Linked DNA regions of Rattus norvegicus. The protein of the gene in region 2 purifies or fractionates together with the protein of the main gene of each other region. This does not show direct contact. Links are inferred from orthologs where the notes say so. Each region holds a gene or a part of one and is shown on either strand. Other genes may lie near its edges.

Region 1 (3,514 bases), on a different chromosome or scaffold from region 2:
CCTCTTGTAGAGGACCTGGATTTATTCCCAACATCCATTTGGTGGTTCACAACCATCTATATCTCCAGTTCCAGGAGATCCAAAGCCCTCTTCTAACCTCTGTAAGCCCAAGGCATGTACATGGTACACATACATACAAATACCCATAACACTAATAGAAATAAATCTATTAAATCTTTGAAGGAAAAGAAAAAGAGTGGGCTGAGACTCCTGTTAACCTTTGACCTACACTGACCTGACTGATTATAAGACCAACTGCTATGGCCACTACATATTCAGTAATAAACTCGAACCTTCAGAGGTCCTGTGCTTTCAGGCATTCCATGACAAGCTAACATGCCCAAGGCCCTGAGCCCCATCCCCAACGGAGAAAGATAAGAGATATACTTACATGTTGGCAGAATCTTTAGTATTACCACCAGGTCAGCCACATTGTGTCCTGTAGTCATTGTCCCCTTTTTATATGATCCTACCTGTCGGACTTCTTCAATTTGCTATTGAAAGGGATTTCAGAGACGTTTAGAAAAATAAAGGTGCTGAGTCCTCATAGAACCATTTCAGCTGCTTCTTAATACCCAGATTTGGAAGCAGCCATGCTGAAATCTCACCCCTAGATAACCAGAAACCTGGGCATGGTTAGCTGACCAGTGATACAATCTTGTCCTCAAGATTAGGAATTTTCCAGAATTCTCTGTACTTTTCCATTTTAGGCTTTGATTTGAATAACAGACAACTGAAATATTAACAGGCAAGAGCCAAGGAAATTTCCGTACCACCAAGGGTGCCCGTTCTTGGGATTAAATCAAAAACTCACCACTTCAAATGTCCCTGGAGCCACAATCAAGTTGTCAATCACATTGTTTATTTTTGTCACCAAAGAAAGGATAGAAGCCTGAAAACATCACAAAGCAAAAATACCCTAAAGCCAAAAATGACACACAACATCTGCAACATCATCACCAGACTCTCCACCTACAACAAGGAGGGAGATGAATAATTACACACACAGAGGAGTTTGGGCTCTAACGGCTCTTGATGAGAATCACACCTAGGGCCTCAAGTGTCTACTACTGGCTTACACTCTCCCTAACCAGATGGAGTAACAGTTCTTTAACTCTGAACTTTTTTTTTTTTTTTTTTTTTTTTTTTTCGGAGCTGGGGACCGAAACTCTGAACTTTTAACACAGCCCATGGACAGCACATACCTGCTCAGCAGAATTGGGGGCAAGGTCTTGATTCCTCTTCAACAAGGCTTCACTGAAGGAGGTCTCATCAGGTGCTGGTTTGACCCGGGGAAAAGCCATTTCACACTAAACCAGAAATTAAATTATGTTATTTACCAAAAATAATTCATAGAAGAGGGACTGAAGAGATTGGCTCAGTGGTTTAAGTGCATTGGCTCCTCTCCAGAAGTCCTGAATTCAATTCTGAATAACCACATGGTGGCTCACAACCATCTATAATGGGATCTGCTTCCCTCTTCTGGCAATGTAAACATATGTGCAGACAGGACACTGATATACATAAGCTATATAAGTAAATCTTGGGGTTGGGGATTTGGCTCAGTGGTAGAGTGCTTGCCTAGCAAGCGCAAGGCCCTGGATTCGATCCCCAGCTCCGAAAAAAAAAAGAATAGAAAAAAAAAATCTTTAAAAAAAAAAAAAGGGGGCTGGGGATTTAGCTCAGTGGTAGAGTGCTTACCTAGGAAGCGCAAGGCCCTGGGTTCGGTCCCCAGCTCCGAAAAAAAGAACCAAAAAAAATAAATAAATAAATAAATAAAAAAAAAAGGGGGGGGGATGGGGATTTAGCTCAGTGGTAGAGCATTTGCCTAGGAAGCAGAAGGCCCTGGGTTCGGTCCCCAGCTCCGGGGGAAAAAAAAAAAAAAAACAGATCTCTGTGAATTTGAAGCCAGTCTTGTCTATAGAGTTAAGTTCAGCCCTGGACAGCCAGTCCTAAGCAGAGAAACCCTGTCTTGAAAAAAGAAAATTAAGAAAAGTGCACAAGAGACTTTTTCCCCAATACTACAAAAGGAAACAAAAATGTTATGCCCTTGTAATCCCAGCTGTGATCTCAGCTCTTTGAAGAAAGAGACAGGAGAACCAACAGTTCAAAACCAGCTTCAAAAAGATATAAACAGGAACCAGTGAGATGGCTTGGCAGCAAAGGCCCTGAGTCATTAATTCTGGGACCCACTCAGAACACCATTCCTGCAAGTCTGATCACCATATTTGCTGTCGTGTACATGTAGTAATAAATGTAATAAAAAGCACTTTTTAAAACATAAACTAGAGGGACTGGAGAGATGGCTCTGACTGCTTTTGCAGAGGACCCAGGTTCAACTCCCAGTGCCCATGTGGCAGCTCACAGCTATCTGTAATTTCACTTTCAGAGGATCTAACACCTTCACACAGACACACATGAGGCAAAACACCAATGTACATAAAATGAAAATGTATCATAAAGAGTAATAATAATAATAGGGGCTGGAGAGATGACTTTGCAGTTAAAAAGCACTGGCTGTTCTTGGAAGGCCCAGGTTCAGTTGCCAGCAACAGCATGGGTCTCACATCCACCAGTAAGTACAGTTCCAAGGAATCTGACCCCCTCTTCAGCTTTCCACTAGTACTATGCATGTGTGTGGTGCACATACAGACAGACACACACACATAAATCTTTAGAATTAAAAAAATAAAAAACCCAGAAAATTCTACATTTAATTCTATTTTTCCCATCTACTCCATTTTTTTTTTCTTTTCTTTTTTTCGGAGCTGGGGACCAAACCCAGGGCCTTGCGCTTCCTAGGCAAGCGCTCTACCACTGAGCTAAATCCCCAACCCCCCATCCACTCCATTTTAAAGCCAGTACACCTTACAACACTTGTTTTTAAGTCCTTCAGATGTTCAAGTCCAAATACAAACCTTATTTTTCTGCTATTATTATTATTTTTTTTTGAAACAGGTCTTATATAAATTGCAGGCTGACCTGAACTTGCTAGGTAGCTGAGGATGACTGAATCTTATCCTCCTGCCTCTTCTTCTTCTGGACTTGGAATTATAGGTGTGCAGTCCACCCTGACATATGAAATACTCTGGTCTATGCAGGCCAGGCAAGCACTCTACAAGGAAGCTACAACAGCAGCCAGAGTGCTCATCATTTACATTAAAACAGATAAAGGCCGGGTGGTGGTAGCCCTCATCGCTACCTCATTGAGACAGAGGCAAGGCAGATCTCTGTTAGTTCAAGGCCAGCCTGGTCTACAGAGTGAGTTCCAGAACAGGCAAAGGCTACACAAAGAAACCCTGTGTTCTCTTCTCTTCTCTTCTCTTCTCTCTCTCTCTCTCTCTCTCTCTCTCTCTCTCTCTCTCACACACACACACACAGAGAGAGAGAGAGAGAGAGAGAGAGAGAGAGAATGCTCAGCAGTAAGAGTGTTTGCTACTGTTGCAGAGGAACCAGACTGATCCCTAGCACGCCCATGGTAGCTCACAACCTCTGACAAACCTCTTCTATCCTC
Region 2 (3,514 bases):
TCAATCATGACAGTCCTCATGCCTCAGTACAGAAATTCAGAGCTACTACACCCTGGCTCAATCTTTTTGATTCAAAGAATTAAAAGAAAAAAATTCTGTTAAATATTTCATAATTTTATACATTTTTAAATGTTAGGAAATTTAGGTTCTCACCAAACATCTGCTTGTTTTTAAATCAAACATTCCCGCTCACAAAAAAAATACTTTATGAGGCTGGGGATTTAGCTCAGTGGTAGAGCGCTTACCTAGGAAGCGCAAGGCCCTGGGTTCTGTCCCCAACTCCGAAAAAAAGAACCAAAAAAAAAAAAAAAAAACCTTTATGTTGCTACTTAGAATATATCATCCTGGTATCTTCTGTGAATTTTAACTGTACTGTCTTTTTATTTTAAGTGTATGGGTGTTTGGTCCACATACTTGTACACCACATGCATGCCTGGCGTCACCAGAAGGGGGCATCAAATCCCCAAGAACTAGAGTTTCAGATGGTTTTGAGTTGCCCTGTGGGTACTCAAGAGTTGAGTGTGGGGCCTCGGGAAGAACAGCCAGTGTTTCTAAGAGCTGTCTTATTTATTTACTTATTTAAAATAAATGGGTGTTTTGTGAATTTGTGATGAAGGAAAAATGTGGTCTAAGAAAAATTCTCATATTCCTTTAATTTTACCCAGAGCTATCCAAAGCCAGAAGCACAAACTAGAAATTCCGTACCATCTACAGATTCTGAATCTTATCAAATACCCCTTCTATAATGCATATACACAGGAAAACACGGCACTTCAAAAACCACCAGATAAAACACATTAAGCAAAAACTGACATTAAGCCTAGAGAAAAAGGAGAAGAAAAAAACAAAAAACTTACCAGTTTAACAGCCTCTTGTGCTGCTTCTTTTGTACAAAAAGTGACAAAGGCATAACCTCTGTTGAGACCAGTAAGTGGATCCATCATTAAACGAAGATCCCATATAGGTCCAGCTTTCTCAAACAATGGAACAAGCTCATCTTCAAACAGATCTCTGGGGATCTTCCCCACAAATATCTGAAAATTAAATATGAATTCACAATCATGGACAATTCTTTAGAAACTAGAGCTGTATTTTTTTTTACTACAAATGGTGTAAGTTTAAGGTTCTTTACCTCAGTGCCAACAGAAGGCTGCTGACCTGAATAAACAGAATCTGGAGGTGGCCCCCCATACTTCCTCTGACCTGTAGTCACATCAAGAGTGTAGCCTGTTCTTTCCAAAAGTGCCTTTAAAAAGTTCAAAATGTTGTTAATGCTTCATTTAAAATACAGATTTTTAGTAATTAAGTCAATCCCATTCAAATATTACCAATCTTAGCAACATTGCTCCATACAAATGAGTAAGATCTGTTTTAGAATTCTCCCTTTTTACATAAAATATCCAATTAAAAAAAAACATTCTCCCTTTCATGTAACCTACAATCAAAATTTCAGAATCCTGTGCATATCATTGTTATTGGCCAATTAATTACTGAGCAATAAAAATTAAAATCGACCCACCAGCAACTTCTAAGATATATATATATATATTGAGTCTGCTAAGAGAAACCTCATTTAAAGCAGGCATGGCTTTAATCCCAGCACTCAATAAGCAGAGGCCATGGGATCTCTCTGAGTTCAAGGCCAGCCTGGTTTACAAAGACAGAGTTCCAGGACAGGGCTACACTGAGAAACTGGTCTCAAAACACAGACACATACCACATACACACTGGGGGGGCGGGGGGGGCGCACAAGTATACCTCATTAAAAATGCAACAATTTGATTACTATTGAACTCTGTATTTCTTACCCAATAAACTCTTAACCCACCCAAAGACACACAATACCATTTGTGGGCATTTTGTCACCTCCACCCCTTAAATCACGTCTATAAACTTGGAAGGCTATATGAAAAGCTTTTCTATTATTTGCTGTCAAAGTGTTGTGTACCACAAATAGCATGGCTCATTCAGAAGAAAAGCAGCCAAAATGATTTTGAAAAACAGTAAGAAACTACAATCATAGAACTTTTATCTCCCTCAACTTGTTAAAACTTATAACTCATTTTACTCAATTAGGGGTTTTTCTTCATCCGTTATTACAGGTAAAAGTGACAAAAAGGACATGTGTAACCTGTTTAGCCAAATAAGCCCAAAAGTCCGCTTCTGTATCAACGAGGAAAGTTCTCTAAGTAACAAAACTATTTTATTAACTAGTTAACAATTCAAAATAAGGACCATAAGATAAAACTTATCAAAATGTTAAGTCACCTCAATCTCCCAAAAATTTTTTTTTTACTCAAACAGCATTACATATGAAATTGTGGGAACGATGTATAGGATGCTTCCTTGATGTAATTTATCCCCCCCAAAAACCTGACTTATAAAAATATATCAATTTTAAAGGTATTCATAAACGTTTAACAAAGTTTCACAAAAAACTGTATGATCTAAATGGCTTTTTCATTACTCAAATTTACTCAAAGGTATAACTCTTATGAAGGAAGGGCTGGAGAAATGCCTCAGTGGTTAAAAGCATTGAGGCTCTAAGTTCAAATCCAAACACAACTCTTCAGAAATTAATAATTCCCCAATCGCACTGGCATAATTGCAATACAGACTATAAACCCCATTTTTATTGGGAACCTAAATTCAATTCGTTCACAATCCTTTGTAAAAACTCACACTGTTGACAAACAACATCATACTCCAATCTTGTCCACATGATCTAGGCTTCCTTTTCCAATAGAGGTATAATACCACACATTTATGCCCTTCTTAGCAACTGCTTTTCTTAAACCATAGCTCTTGCCTAAAGAAGTGGTACATTACTAAAATCTAAAAACTAATATAAACTATACTCTTTGAACTACACCTAACTCACCAAGAACACTACCTAAATGAGGCCATTTAATCTTCTAGGACCTTAAAAACAACCAACCTGCAACAAAAGAAACTTTCACTCCCAACCCATTGTCCTTGCTTACCAAACTTGGTTTTAGAAATAACTGTCCTTCATAACCCAATAAAAGAAACAATACTAAATTCTAAATTCATTGGGACCCTGCCCTCCTAAAGGGAAAAAAAAAGCAGCCAGCCAATCTGCTCCCAGTTTTGTTGATCAGTAATCTGTAAACATTTAGACTTAACCACCTCTTTAAATGTTTCTTACACTTTTGTAAGTGACAGCACACACAGGTTGGAACAGTAGTAGCCAGACAAACTGCAGTGATTTTCAAAAACCAAAAGTGGACACAGTCAATCTTTTTTTTCAAAGTGTACTCATTAGAAGACAATAACCTTAGAAATACACATGCGTGTGTGTGTGTGTGTGTGTGTGTGTGTGTGTGTGTGTGTGTGTGTGTGCGCGCGCGGCGCGCGCGCACTTCAGGAATAACCTTAGAAATATATGTACCCGGGCACACTTCAGGAACATTTGACAAAGCTCTTAAATAACTGGGAGGGTTGTAAAGCTGCAGAAAGTTTTAAAAGCATACCTTAATCTTCGCCTCATCTG
Region 3 (4,157 bases), on a different chromosome or scaffold from region 2:
ATGACAGTTTCTCTCAGTGGCAAGTTAGAATCGAAGGTCTTTGTGTACATATTCTAGGTCAAGACAGACATTTCTTGGATATATCAACTAAATGCCTGAAGTCCCAGCAGAAGGTAGACAATCCAGCTATGTCTCTAACTACCTCATGTGGAAGGAAGACACTAACCACTCATCCACCTACTCATTTTGGGGGAGGCGGCCCCAGCTTAAAGCCAGGAGGAGGTAGCATAGCAAGCCTATTTGCACGCACCATGCAATGTACCTACAATGCTCTAAGAGCCAGCCGTGAAGTCTGAGACGGGCATAAACCCTGGAAGTCTCATCTAGCTCCGCACCAAGTACCTGCGTCACTGGATACCTACCACTACCACCGCCAAAGCCGCCTCCGCCTCCTCCGTTGTTATAGCTGTCATAGCTGCCACTCCCGCCATAGCCACTGCCCTGGTTTCCATAACCCTGTCCACCACTTCCATAGCCTCTGCTTCCTCCAGAGTAACCAGGGCCGCCTCCTCCATAACCACCTACAAGAATACAAGTCTTCTCAATAAGACAAAAGTATTTAACAAGAAAAATCTACGCAAGTTAAATAGCTAAAGGCTGCTCAGGGCATGCATTTTACGGGGCTGACTGAACTTTGTCATGCACTAGGTTTAGTCTCTAGTAGCCTATTCTAAAGGTAGAGGTCGCCAGAAACCACTCCTTACAGACTCCTTAAGAAACTTACCATCATTGCCAAATCCATTATAGCCATCCCCACTGCCACCATATCCACCACCACCACGGCTGCCACCAAAGCCACCTGGAAGAAACCAAAGCTTTAAACCAGGCTTTGTACGTGAATGAATACTTATCAAATATCAAAACCTGTAAGTGCTGGGGACACAGGGTAGCAATTACTAGTTATAAGTTCTAAAACCAACAAGGAGCCAAACAAAGCCATACACACCACGACCACTGAAGTTCCCTCCTCGACCAAAATTGTCATTGCCACCGAAACCACCTCCACGACCACCACCAAAGTTTCCGGAACCACTTCGACCTTAAAAGAAATTTTGGATCATTAGGTTAACCTGTAATAACTAACAGTGTCCTCCTCACCCCAAGTCTAACCAAGCAATAAACACACCTCTCTGGCTGGATGAAGCACTAGCCATCTCTTGTTTCGACAGAGCCTTTCTTACTTCACAGTTGTGGCCATTCACAGTATGGTATTTCTGAACTAAGAGGAAAAATTAAATTCAGGACTTTTAAAAAAACATGTGAACTCCAGAATCATAAAGGAAAATGTAATCCTCTGATACTTACTAACAATCTTATCCACAGAGTCATGGTCATCAAAGGTGACAAACGCAAATCCCCTCTTTTTTCCACTGCCTCTGTCAGTCATAATTTCAATCACTTCAATTTTCCCATACTGCTCAAAATAATCTCGTAGGTGATGTTCTTCAGTGTCTTCTTTAATACCGCCAACAAAGATCTTCTTCACAGTTAAGTGGGCACCTGGTCTCTGAGAATCCTAAAAGGAAAAATGACTCCAGTTATTTAGTAGCAGCACATTCCTAAATGATTGACACCTGTGGTGGCACATGCCTTTAATTTCACTCAGGAGGGAGGATCTCCCAGTTGAGATCTGCCCCATTACAATCTCAGGTTAAAAAAGAACCAGCTATTAGGAAAAACCACTCACTTCTCTTGACACAGCTCTCTTAGGTTCCACAACTCTTCCATCCACCTTGTGTGGTCTTGCATTCATGGCAGCATCCACTTCCTCCACAGTGGCATATGTGACAAACCCAAAGCCTCTGGATCTTTTGGTGTTTGGATCTCTCATTACCTGTTTAGAGTTAATTCAATCAACACAGTGCCTGATCACAAAGCCAAAAAGTCATTCCTAGTCAGAGCGCTGCAAACATGAAACTCCATCCAGAGTCAGAAAATAAAAAGCTCTTTTACAGATCTTGTTAGCAAAGCTCCACAACGATGATTTTTAGTATCCCATTAATTAACTTCACAAAACATTTAGCTAAGAAGCGTCAAGGTTAAATCAGAAGAAATAAGGCAGCTCTTCCTTTTGTTTTTTTAAATCTTACCACACAGTCGGTGAGTGTTCCCCATTGCTCAAAATGGCTCCTCAGACTCTCGTCGGTTGTTTCGAAGCTCAGCCCTCCAATGAAGAGCTTCCGCAGCTGTTCCGGTTCCTTGGGGGACTAAAATAAAGTGGGGGAAAGAGGGGGCTTAGTGGAGGGCCTGAAACTTGGGCGAATGAATCAACACCATTCATCAACACACGCCACACTTTTTTATTGTTCTTTATTACTGCACAAGACCACGTGCTCCTTCCTGGGCTTGACTGGGGACTCGAGTTGCACGCGGCGCATGCGTCCTGTTACTTCATACGCAGGCGCAACAAAAGACACAGGTTGGTCTGGTCCATCGCCATTAAGACTTAGTATCTCTTTAACAAGAGATCATTAGACCAGATAGGGAAAAACGAAAAAAAGGCCACAAACCCCAGATCGTTAAGTGTAAGAATTCTGCCAAAAGGAACAGTGCGTAGAAACTAATGGCTGTCGGATCGCAGCCTCATGGTGACTATGAGGACAAAATGGCGACCTGCATTTTTTAAAGTAGGCCTCAGCAGTAATCGATCAAACACCGAAAGCACGGGAGCCAGCGACAAAACAGGTCACATCCCGTCATATTCAGTAAGTGTGGAAGAAAGCGAAGCTGCAGAGCGCGCTCAACTCACCTCTGACTTAGACATGACGGTAGGATGATGAGAGCGTTCAGCGATGCTTCCTCGCCAGCGTCAAAGAGCAGAAAGGAATAAGATAGCGAACGTGTCCGGCAGCCTACCTTCTGCTCTCCCTTTTATCCCGCCTCCTCGCTTTCGGCATTGGTAGACTCCGCCCTTGCTTCAGTCTTATTGGAGATTTGAAATTGTTCCCTCCCACCATTGGCCTGTAAAAACGCCCTGCTAAGAAACGGCATCCGTTTGGGCGTTCTACTCAGTCCCCGCCCCTTTGAGTCATTGACGCCCCAAGGGATCTTATTCTTAACCACATTGATTGGCTAGCTAGCCAGTAATTTATATTTGAATGTACTCACGTCTTTAAATGTGTTTTATACCTTCCCCACACCCGAATGTTACAAACTCACTCGGCAAAGGACGATACGTTAGAAAGTAGTTCGCCGCGACTTTTCCCAGCTATAAAGCGCATGTGTAATAAAAATGGCGAGTTTACGCCGGCGCAGTACGAAGTTCCGCCTGCTGTCTGGAACACGTGAAATGGCGGGCGGGAGAGGGATACGAGGTTCGTAGGCGCCTGCGTAGTGGAGGGACCTGTGTTCTGTTTTGCGCAGGCGTTTTGGGCGGAGAAAAGGTCCAAGCCCGGGATTGGTTGCGCAGGCGCAGGGAAGGATCCGTTTTGGCGGGCGGTTGGCATTGCGCAGAAGGCGGCGGTAGCGGTGGCTTGTGGTGCCGCTTTGCCACAGAGGAACCGTGCAGGCCTTAGTGTGAGTGATCACTTTAGATCCCGGGTAAGTGGCAGAGTCTTGTCTACCCGTACGAGATCTTGAACCTGCTCCAATTGCACCGGTTATTGTACGAAATGAATGGACCGCTGAACTGGGGGGGGGGGGGAGACGACGGTGAAGGGGCCGCGACGGGTCGGGCCAGCCAATAGGACAACTGGGGCGGGATGTTTTATCCTTGCAGGTTCGGTGAAGCTGCGTTGCCGAAGCGTTTGACTGGCGAGTGTATAGGCCAATTGGGTCTTCCTATAGCTGCCTACCAACCGGTCCTTGGGCCATCGGAATGTGGGAGGCGGGTTTTTCTTGCCTGAGTTGCGTCTCTCCGAGCCAATGAACCCCAAGCGCGCCATAGGCCGGCCTTCCCCAAGAGGCAGAGGCTGGACTCCAGTGGGGAGCGCGGGAGTCGGTAGGTTAAATTCATATAGAGCAAACCTGGAGCCAGTAGGACAGACTACTCTCAAAAAATAAAGCTTAGTCTTGCATTTGTGGGGGCGAACATTTAACTAAAATGACTCCTATAATTAAGGCATTCATTCCGTATATTACCTTAAGGAAAACATATGTTTTCTTGTACTTTTTGGTACAAAAAGTTTCACCCTTCACTTAGACTCTAGAGGACGTGC
Region 4 (3,514 bases), on a different chromosome or scaffold from region 2:
AGCCTCACTCTAAATTTACACAGTCTCCCTCTAGTCCAGTCTGGCCTCAAATCCACAATCCTCCTGCCCCGGTTTCCCAAGTGTTTTGATCACAGATGTTTACTAGCATACTTCTCTCTTATAGGTACTTAACTACAGATTAACGTTTCACGGGGTAGGGCCAGGCCTGTCTTTAATCCCAGCACATGGGAAGCAGAGGCAGGATTATCTCTGTGAGCTCTGTGCTGCTGGCCTAGCCGGCCTACAGAGCTCCAGGAAAGCCAGGTCTACATCGGAAAGACCTGCTTTCAAAACAACACCAGTGATAATCATAATAATGAATTGCATGGAGTGCGCAGAGAGTCTTCTGTAATAGGTCTTCACAAGGCAGGGTAAATGGCTTCTTACTAAATAGGAACCAGCAGTAGGAGTTGCTTTGCTTGTTTTTCCTTTTGCTGGTCCCAATGTGTTTGTAAAGATCTTGTCTTCTCATGGTTTTGTTTGTTTTTTTGTACAGGAGTCCAGCCTATTCCTTCTCAGGGAGGGAAGCTAGAAATAGCTGGCACGGTGGTCGGCCACTGGGCTGGGAGCAGGCGGGGCCGTGGGGGCCGAGGGCCCTTCCCTCTGCAGGTGGTGTCTGTGGGAGGACCAGCAAGAGGGTAAGCTCTGGGCCGGGCTGGGTGCTGTGCTTGGTGTAAGTGCAGAAAGCAGCCTTTGACTGTTCCTCCTCCTGGGCAGGGGCTCTTCTCACGCCACTGCTAAGTTTCTCTTTCACATCATTGTTAGTGTTGCATAGAATTCTCTTATATATCACTATATAATTGTTTGATTCATCATTGTTAAATAATTAACCATGCGTTATTCAGTTAATGAACTGTCTTTTAAAAATGTTCCAAGTGTTAGTTTTGAAGTCAAATGCCTTGGGTGTCCATACTTAGCACTTGATGTGTCACATGACTTGAGAGTAGTTTAAACATCATCTTTGATAGACTTAAATCTGTTTGCTCTTCTTTTCCTGTATTGACCCAGGCGTCCAAGGGGTGTTATTTCCACTCCTGTGATTAGAACGTTTGGAAGAGGTGGAAGGTACTACGGCAGAGGCTATAAAAGCCAGGGAGCAATTCAGGTAATGTCCCCATGGTGTTCCTCTGTCACTCCTGTCCTGTCTCTCTTCTAGGAGTGTCCTTGCATGTGTTCAGACTATAGGGCAGTGAGTTTGTTTGGTAATTGTCAGGCCTCTGACTTGATACTTAAATCATTTCCCTGTGCTCAGGAACTCCATTGGGTGACACCTGTGTGTTTGACTTCTTGTTTAAGCCAAGTGAGGGCAGGCTGGCCTGGCCATGTCTTCCAAGACAGCCACTGCTTTAGTGGGAAATAGTTGGGTTGGGTTTGGTTGGGTTTGGTTTGGTTTGGTTTGGTTTGGTTTGGTTTTTTTGGTTTTTGTTTTTTTGAGTCAAGGTCTTGCTATGTAACCCTGACTGGCCTGGAACTTGCTGTATAGACCAGGCTGACCTCAGACTCACAGAGATGCCTTTATACACATAAAATTATGTGTATAGATATTTTGCCTGCATGTGTGTCTGGGCACCAGGTGCCTCAGAGAGGTGTTGGTTTTCTTGGGACTAGAGTTATAGAAGCTTTGAGTCTCCATGCAGGCGCTGGGAATTCAACCTCAACCCTGATCTTCGTGAAGGGCCCCTAGTACTCTGAACCACAGAGCCCCTTTTCCAGCCCCACTCTGAATATTTCATGTATACCTGTTGTGCATGTGCTTTTCTTTGATCTCTTAGATCCTATGTCCTTTTCCTTGGGTGAACTGCTTGTAGCCTTCTTATGGACACCTGTACCTTGTACATGCCTTGTGGAGAGACAGTGTACTGACACTCACTGCCCCAGTGAAATACTTGTTGAATTCCAGTGGATAGGCATTTGACTAAGAGCTCTATTGTGGTATTTAAATTGACCTTTGTCCATCTTGGAGAATTTTGCTTCTGGAGGGTTGGTTAAATGAACACATCCCATATTTAGACAGTGCTTTTTTTTTTTTTTTTAAAACAGATTTCACACACAGGTTCAGTACCTGCTCACAGTGCTGTAACTAGCCTCCTGTGCCGAGAATAGCTGCAGGAACATTTTCACACCACCTTCATTTTCATTTTAAGCATTAGCTGTATTTCATCCATATCTGGGCAGGGAGCCATGATCCACTATACTTTGCCATTGTACCCCAGTTGTCTTGCTGCTATAAATACCTTCTTGACCCATGTACCCTCCAGGCTCTCGACCTTTGTTCTGGTCTCTGAAGTCCCCTTCTCAGTGGGTTCTGGAAGAATGACCCCTCAGGAAGGACTGATGGAAACTGTTCAATGTAAAGACCGTGTCCTACTCAGGACACTGGCTTGCAGGCTTTTTCCACAGTTCTCTTGCTTTACTGAACTTTCTTCATACATAAAGCTTTGCTGTCAAAGAGCTACCTAATCTCCTTCCCATTGAACTCACCTGTGTGCTTGTCCAAGGCGCCCAGATTGGTTTGCTTTTCCATGAACACTTGGTGCCTTTTCTAGAAGCCCCTGGCACTGCTGCTCTGATTGCCACACTCAGTGAGCCCAGACCTTTCCCTTCAGGAGCTTGTCTACAGAAGCATGGTGCTGCTTGCCAACTGCCCACTCTGACTCTTCCCTGCCTACCTTCCTCTCTCCTATTTTGATTTACAACTCAGGCTACAGTTTACCTCTAGGGTTCTTTTCTTTCTTTCTTTCTGTTTTTTTTTTTTTTTTTTTTTTTTGGTTCTTTTTTTCGGAGCTGGGGACCGAACCCAGGGCCTTGCGCTCTACCACTGAGCTAAATCCCCAACCCCTCTGTTTTTTGTTTTTGTGTTGTGTTTTTGTATTATGAGACAGCTTCAGTACACAGCCCTGTATGGAGCTTGCTGTGCAGGCCTCAGATTCCTGTCGACTCCCTGTCTCTGTCTTCTCCTGAAGACTGGGATTGGCGTTAAGGCCTCAGTGCCACTGTGTCACACTCCCCTGTTTATTTCTGTTTGTCATTATATGTGAGTGATATGATGACCATGCATGTGCATCCATGGACCCCACTGGCCACGTACCTCTAAAAGCTGAACTTTGGCATCAGTTCTCTTCCTTTGACCTTTATGTGCAATCCAGGGACTGAACTCAGAATGGCAATGAACCCTAGTTGTTTTTTTGGTTTATGTTTTTTTTTTTTTTTTTTTTTTTTTGGTTCTTTTTTTCGGAGCTGGGGACCGAACCCAGGGCCTTGCGCTTCCTAGGTAAGCGCTCTACCACTGAGCTAAATCCCCAGCCCCTGGTTTATGTTTTTTAAGACAGGATCTTTCTACATAGCCTTGGGTATCTTAGAATTCATTTTGCAGACCAGGCTGGCCTCGAATTCACAGAGATTGCCACTCCCTGCGCTGGGATTAAAGGTGTAGACCACCATGCCCAGTTGCTTTGTTCTTTAAAAGACTAAATTTTGGGCAGCTTTGGACTCACAGCACTAAGAAAGGTAGATT
Region 5 (4,088 bases), on a different chromosome or scaffold from region 2:
GCTAAATCCCCAACCCCAGTTGTCTTGTTTTTAAGTATTAAAGTTGAATGCTATAGAGGGCACTGTGTATTTGGTCACCCAGCTTTGATAATTATTAACTCATAGTTAAGGTCCATCTTGTCTCTTCTTGAACTCCCTCCTTTAAACTAGCTTGTTTTGAAAACAAATCCTAAATCTATCATAATCTTAGTCATTTTGACTTTAACCAGGTCATATCAGGCTGACTGTTAATCTGTCAATGAAATGACATTTCTTGTATACTAGAACTGACTGCGCTTTCTCTTTTTTTTTTTTTTTTTTTTTTTCTTTCTTTTGGGGTCTGGTTTCTTGGCTGACATATGATTAATACACAGCAGGAAAACAGCTGCAGAATTAGCGGACTCCCCTTCTCTAGGAGAATGCCACTTTTCAGCCCAGATTTCAGCCTTACTCCTTAAGGACTGAATCAACAGTTCCTGAACTATTAATGACTAATTGAAAAGCAGACAAATATTGAATGCCTTTGATCCCAGGACTCCTCCAAAGGCAGAGGCAGGGTGACCTCTCTGTCCAAGGCCAGCCTGGTCTACAAAGCAAGTTCCTGGACAGTCAGGGCTATGTTACCCAGAGAAACCCTGGTCTCTAAAAACAAAAAAATCCAAAACAAACAAACAAACAAACAAAGAGAAAAGCCATTACACTCAACAATGGACGCTAGAAACTATTTCCTGACATTACAAAAACACTAGGAAGATGTCAAAAACACAGACACAGCCATGCAATATCAGATGGGTGTGATATAAACATTCTCCACTTATTAAAGAAACTTACTGCCTAAAACAATCTGCCGAGAGGCTGAAGAGATGAGTAGCCCAGGAAAGGCAGCAACCCTCAGAGTCTGTTCCAGGAAATTAGGTAGAGAGCCGTCAAGGAAGACAAGACACCAGAAGTTGACCTCCGGCCTCCATGTAGAAGAGCATTGAGCACAGAAAACACACACTGAATTGCTCTTATAAATCTGCTCCTGTACCAGCTGTGTTTCTTTAAGGAGGAGGACACCTATGACACTAAGCACAGATTTAAAAACAAAAACAAGGGGTTGGGGATTTAGCTCAGTGGTAGAGCGCTTACCTAAGAAGCACAAGGCCCTGGGTTCGGTCCCCAGCTCCGAAAAAAAGAACCAAAAAAAAAAAAAAAAAAAAAGAGTACTTAATCTTACTAAAGAAAAGAGAAAGGCTGAGTCAGAATAAAGAGTCTACTAAAAGTTCACTAGAATGACCAAGACTTCTCCCTCCACACTCCCCAAATGTATTTTTAGTTTTTACTTCAACAAGTAGTGATGTAATTTGCATTTGGTAAGCACAGATCCCTGAAAGACCAAAATCCTAGTTTAAATCTCTTCCAACACTTCCAATTCTCAAGAATTACAGTTACCCAGACTGGGCTACAGAGCAAGTTCCAGGACAGCCTGGGCTGCACAGAGAAACCACATCTCAGAAAAAAACAAACAAGCAAGCAAAAAAACAGAAACAGAATTTCAGCTATAAGCAGTTGAAAATAGTGACCTTTAAAAGGCACACAATACATGGGCAAAATGCAAAAGGGTACAAGATAAAGCTTCAGACCAGCAATACTGCCACAAGGACGGAGGTGCGGCCAGAGTTTAAGGGAAACGGATAGGTACCGGGAGTGAAATCGAAGCTCAGCTAAAGAAAGTGAAGAACTACAGATGTGGACCAAGAAAGCACGGTTTTAGCATCTTTGCATACTCCACCTCCAGAACCTGACACACAAGAGGGCTCCAAAAAGGTCTGCTGAACCCAAGGGGAGCTTATGCCAGCAACTTTCTCATAAAAAGGAATGACAATAACGTTCTGGGTGGTGGCAAGGAAACATGGGACAGGTTGCGGAGCCTACGGGAGCCAGTGAAGTGCCTGAAACTGGTTCTACAGAAAGGATGGCTTTACATCCATAACCTGTCTGCTACAGTGTCCCCATTAAGCGCGCGCCCCTTTCTGGTGCCAAGCAAGCACAATGCCCAGGCACTGGCAGTGGGCACGAGGGATTCTTCTGCCTCGGAGAAAACCCAAATGGGAAGGTAGGTCAACTTCTGTCCAGTCTGAAGCCTAAATTATACTTTCATACCACGTTAATAAATTATGCAAACGGTTTATTGGGACACGGTGTGGGTCTGGCACACTGATAAGCGCTTTACACGCCCCATTTCACTGCAACTTCACAGCCTGAAGAGGCAGGGACGGGGTTGGGACAGGATTAATACTCTTCCCCCTCCTTTTCCCCCTCACAACAGAGACACAAAGAGTACGAAGTGACTTGCTAAGGGGACAGAGCCGGGAATTGGCACCTTATCCCACAGCTCCGCAGTGGCCGCAACACTGTGCACAGCACCGAAACCTGGTGGCCTGCCGACCGGCCCAGCCCCTGCCCGCGACCCCCGCGTTAACTCCCGCACTGGGCCCACGAGCAGCGCGGAGGGCCCGCCTCCTCCGGGAAGGCCCCGCGGGCGGAGATGAGCCTGGGCCGCAGCTCCCGCGCCCTCGAGGCCTAGCCCACCCGCCGCCCACCTCCCGCTGACGCCGTGCCTGCGTGGGTCCTTCCGCTGCTCGGCCCGGCCCGACCCGAGCGCCTTACCTGGCTGCTTCCCCAGAGCTCGTCCCGGGGCCGGCGGTATTGGGCGGCGGCGAGGAAGAAAAGCAAAAGAAGAGGGCGAGGAAAAAAAGACCGGGGGAGGGAAGAGACGGAGTGGCTGCGGAGAAGGCGGGCGCCGCCGGGCCGGGGGTCAGAAGAAGGGGGAGCGCACACAGACGCGACGACAGCCAGCGCAAACGCTGAAGAGTGGCTCGGCGCCTGCAGCCCGGCAGGAAGTGACGGGGGAGGGGCCGCGCCCGCCCCCGGCCCCCGCCCGCCTCCATGCCGGCCCCACCCCCCCCACCGTGGCAGGAACCACAAGTCCCAGCAGGCGCCGCGTCCAGCATGCGCTCTCTAGGCACGTAAGACCAACGGGGGCCAGGCACCGCTGCGTTGAGTCCAAGGTGTACTGGGAGTTGTAGTTTCCCAGGAGCTCCGGTTCGGCAGGGAAAGCAGGCCTAACTTCCTTTCTTGTCCAGGCTTTATGTTTCCTTCCTGCGTTCACTCCTTCTTCCTATACTAACATTTGTTAACCTGCTGCTGTGTACAAGGTCAGAAACTGAAAATACAGTGAGAATGCACAAGTCCCGGCCCTCATGGAGTTTACATTCTACTGGGGAAAGCACAGTAAATGAAGTCTGATTCTGTTTTAAGACAAGCACCAAGTACTTTCTGGTTGCTTTCACGGAGCTCTAAACTGAGTGTGCTTCTGTGGACAAGAGGCTGGTGTTGGTTTCTTTGATGTGGTCCTGGAGATTGAAGCAAACTTCTAGCACTGAGCTCCATCTCCCACTCATGATGTAACTTTTCTATTCGCCCTCTTGGGTTTTCTTAATTTTCTTGCGCGCGTGTGCGTGTATGTGTGAGTGTGCATGGTATGTATGAGCGTGTGAGTTCAGGTGTCCACTGAGTCCAGTGCTGTCACTTCCTGCCTGGTGCAGGAGTTATAGGCAGTTGTGAGACAGGTCCTCTTCAAGAATAATAACTGCTCTTAACTGATAGCCATCTCTCCAGCCCTGTAACAGCCCTCTTATGGGAGGCAGGGGAGAGAGGTCTTTAGTACTAGAAAGATGGGATCCTTGTCAGAGGTTATGGGATCCTCTGCGGCTTATTTTAAGTGATGCCTGTGATTGAAGCACCTAGGTAGACATCATAGCTAGATACCCAAGGCTCTAGGTTCCATCTCTACCCCAAAAGTACACACACACACACACACACACACACACACACACACACAGAAAAAACCCTAGCCAGGTGGTAGTGGCACAGACATTTTAATCTCAGCCCTTGGAGAGGCAGAGAGAGGTGGATCTCTTGAGTTCCAAAACAGCCAGGGCTACAGACAGAAACTCTGTCTCAAAAAAACAAAAAATTAAATAAATAAATAAATAAATAAATAGTTTGCCTAACAACTCAGTCTCCTTGCCACAGCACTGTGGCTGACTTTGCATGAATTCACA

Evidence for each region.
Region 1: the proteins of Syncrip (region 2) and Ilf2 fractionate together in Homo sapiens (co-fractionation; 3 studies listed by BioGRID and IntAct, with this or other methods). This does not show direct contact. The link is inferred for Rattus norvegicus from reciprocal best matches to the Homo sapiens genes SYNCRIP and ILF2.
Region 3: the proteins of Syncrip (region 2) and Hnrnpa1 purify together in Homo sapiens (affinity purification with mass spectrometry; 5 studies listed by BioGRID and IntAct, with this or other methods). This does not show direct contact. The link is inferred for Rattus norvegicus from reciprocal best matches to the Homo sapiens genes SYNCRIP and HNRNPA1.
Region 4: the proteins of Syncrip (region 2) and Fam120a purify together in Homo sapiens (co-immunoprecipitation; 3 studies listed by BioGRID and IntAct, counting the BioPlex papers as one, with this or other methods). This does not show direct contact. The link is inferred for Rattus norvegicus from reciprocal best matches to the Homo sapiens genes SYNCRIP and FAM120A.
Region 5: the proteins of Syncrip (region 2) and Stau1 purify together in Homo sapiens (affinity purification with mass spectrometry; 3 studies listed by BioGRID, with this or other methods). This does not show direct contact. The link is inferred for Rattus norvegicus from reciprocal best matches to the Homo sapiens genes SYNCRIP and STAU1.

Annotation. Positions count from the first base shown.
Region 1 is NC_086020.1:178,259,913-178,263,426, reverse strand, and holds part of Ilf2 (interleukin enhancer-binding factor 2), read right to left. Parts: intron 1,311-3,514; coding exon 1,206-1,310; intron 893-1,205; coding exon 815-892; intron 495-814; coding exon 392-494; intron 1-391. UniProt on the Homo sapiens protein: Chromatin-interacting protein that forms a stable heterodimer with interleukin enhancer-binding factor 3/ILF3 and plays a role in several biological processes including transcription, innate immunity or cell growth.
Region 2 is NC_086026.1:98,308,887-98,312,400, forward strand, and holds part of Syncrip (heterogeneous nuclear ribonucleoprotein Q), read right to left. Parts: coding exon 3,495-3,514; intron 1,247-3,494; coding exon 1,133-1,246; intron 1,035-1,132; coding exon 858-1,034; intron 848-857; exon of another isoform or gene 1-847. UniProt on the Homo sapiens protein: Heterogenous nuclear ribonucleoprotein (hnRNP) implicated in mRNA processing mechanisms. Component of the CRD-mediated complex that promotes MYC mRNA stability.
Region 3 is NC_086025.1:136,252,766-136,256,922, reverse strand, and holds the start of Hnrnpa1 (heterogeneous nuclear ribonucleoprotein A1), read right to left. Parts: upstream 2,806-4,157; 5' UTR 2,765-2,805; coding exon 2,750-2,764; intron 2,706-2,749; exon of another isoform or gene 2,348-2,705; intron 2,208-2,347; coding exon 2,091-2,207; intron 1,835-2,090; coding exon 1,688-1,834; intron 1,517-1,687; coding exon 1,306-1,516; intron 1,220-1,305; coding exon 1,127-1,219; intron 1,040-1,126; coding exon 947-1,039; intron 800-946; coding exon 725-799; intron 522-724; coding exon 363-521; intron 1-362. UniProt on the Homo sapiens protein: Involved in the packaging of pre-mRNA into hnRNP particles, transport of poly(A) mRNA from the nucleus to the cytoplasm and modulation of splice site selection.
Region 4 is NC_086035.1:15,974,104-15,977,617, forward strand, and holds part of Fam120a (constitutive coactivator of PPAR-gamma-like protein 1), read left to right. Parts: intron 1-496; coding exon 497-638; intron 639-1,008; coding exon 1,009-1,105; intron 1,106-3,514. UniProt on the Homo sapiens protein: Component of the oxidative stress-induced survival signaling. May regulate the activation of SRC family protein kinases. May act as a scaffolding protein enabling SRC family protein kinases to phosphorylate and activate PI3-kinase.
Region 5 is NC_086021.1:176,142,137-176,146,224, forward strand, and holds the start of Stau1 (double-stranded RNA-binding protein Staufen homolog 1), read right to left. Parts: upstream 2,812-4,088; 5' UTR 2,632-2,811; intron 1-2,631. UniProt on the Homo sapiens protein: Binds double-stranded RNA (regardless of the sequence) and tubulin.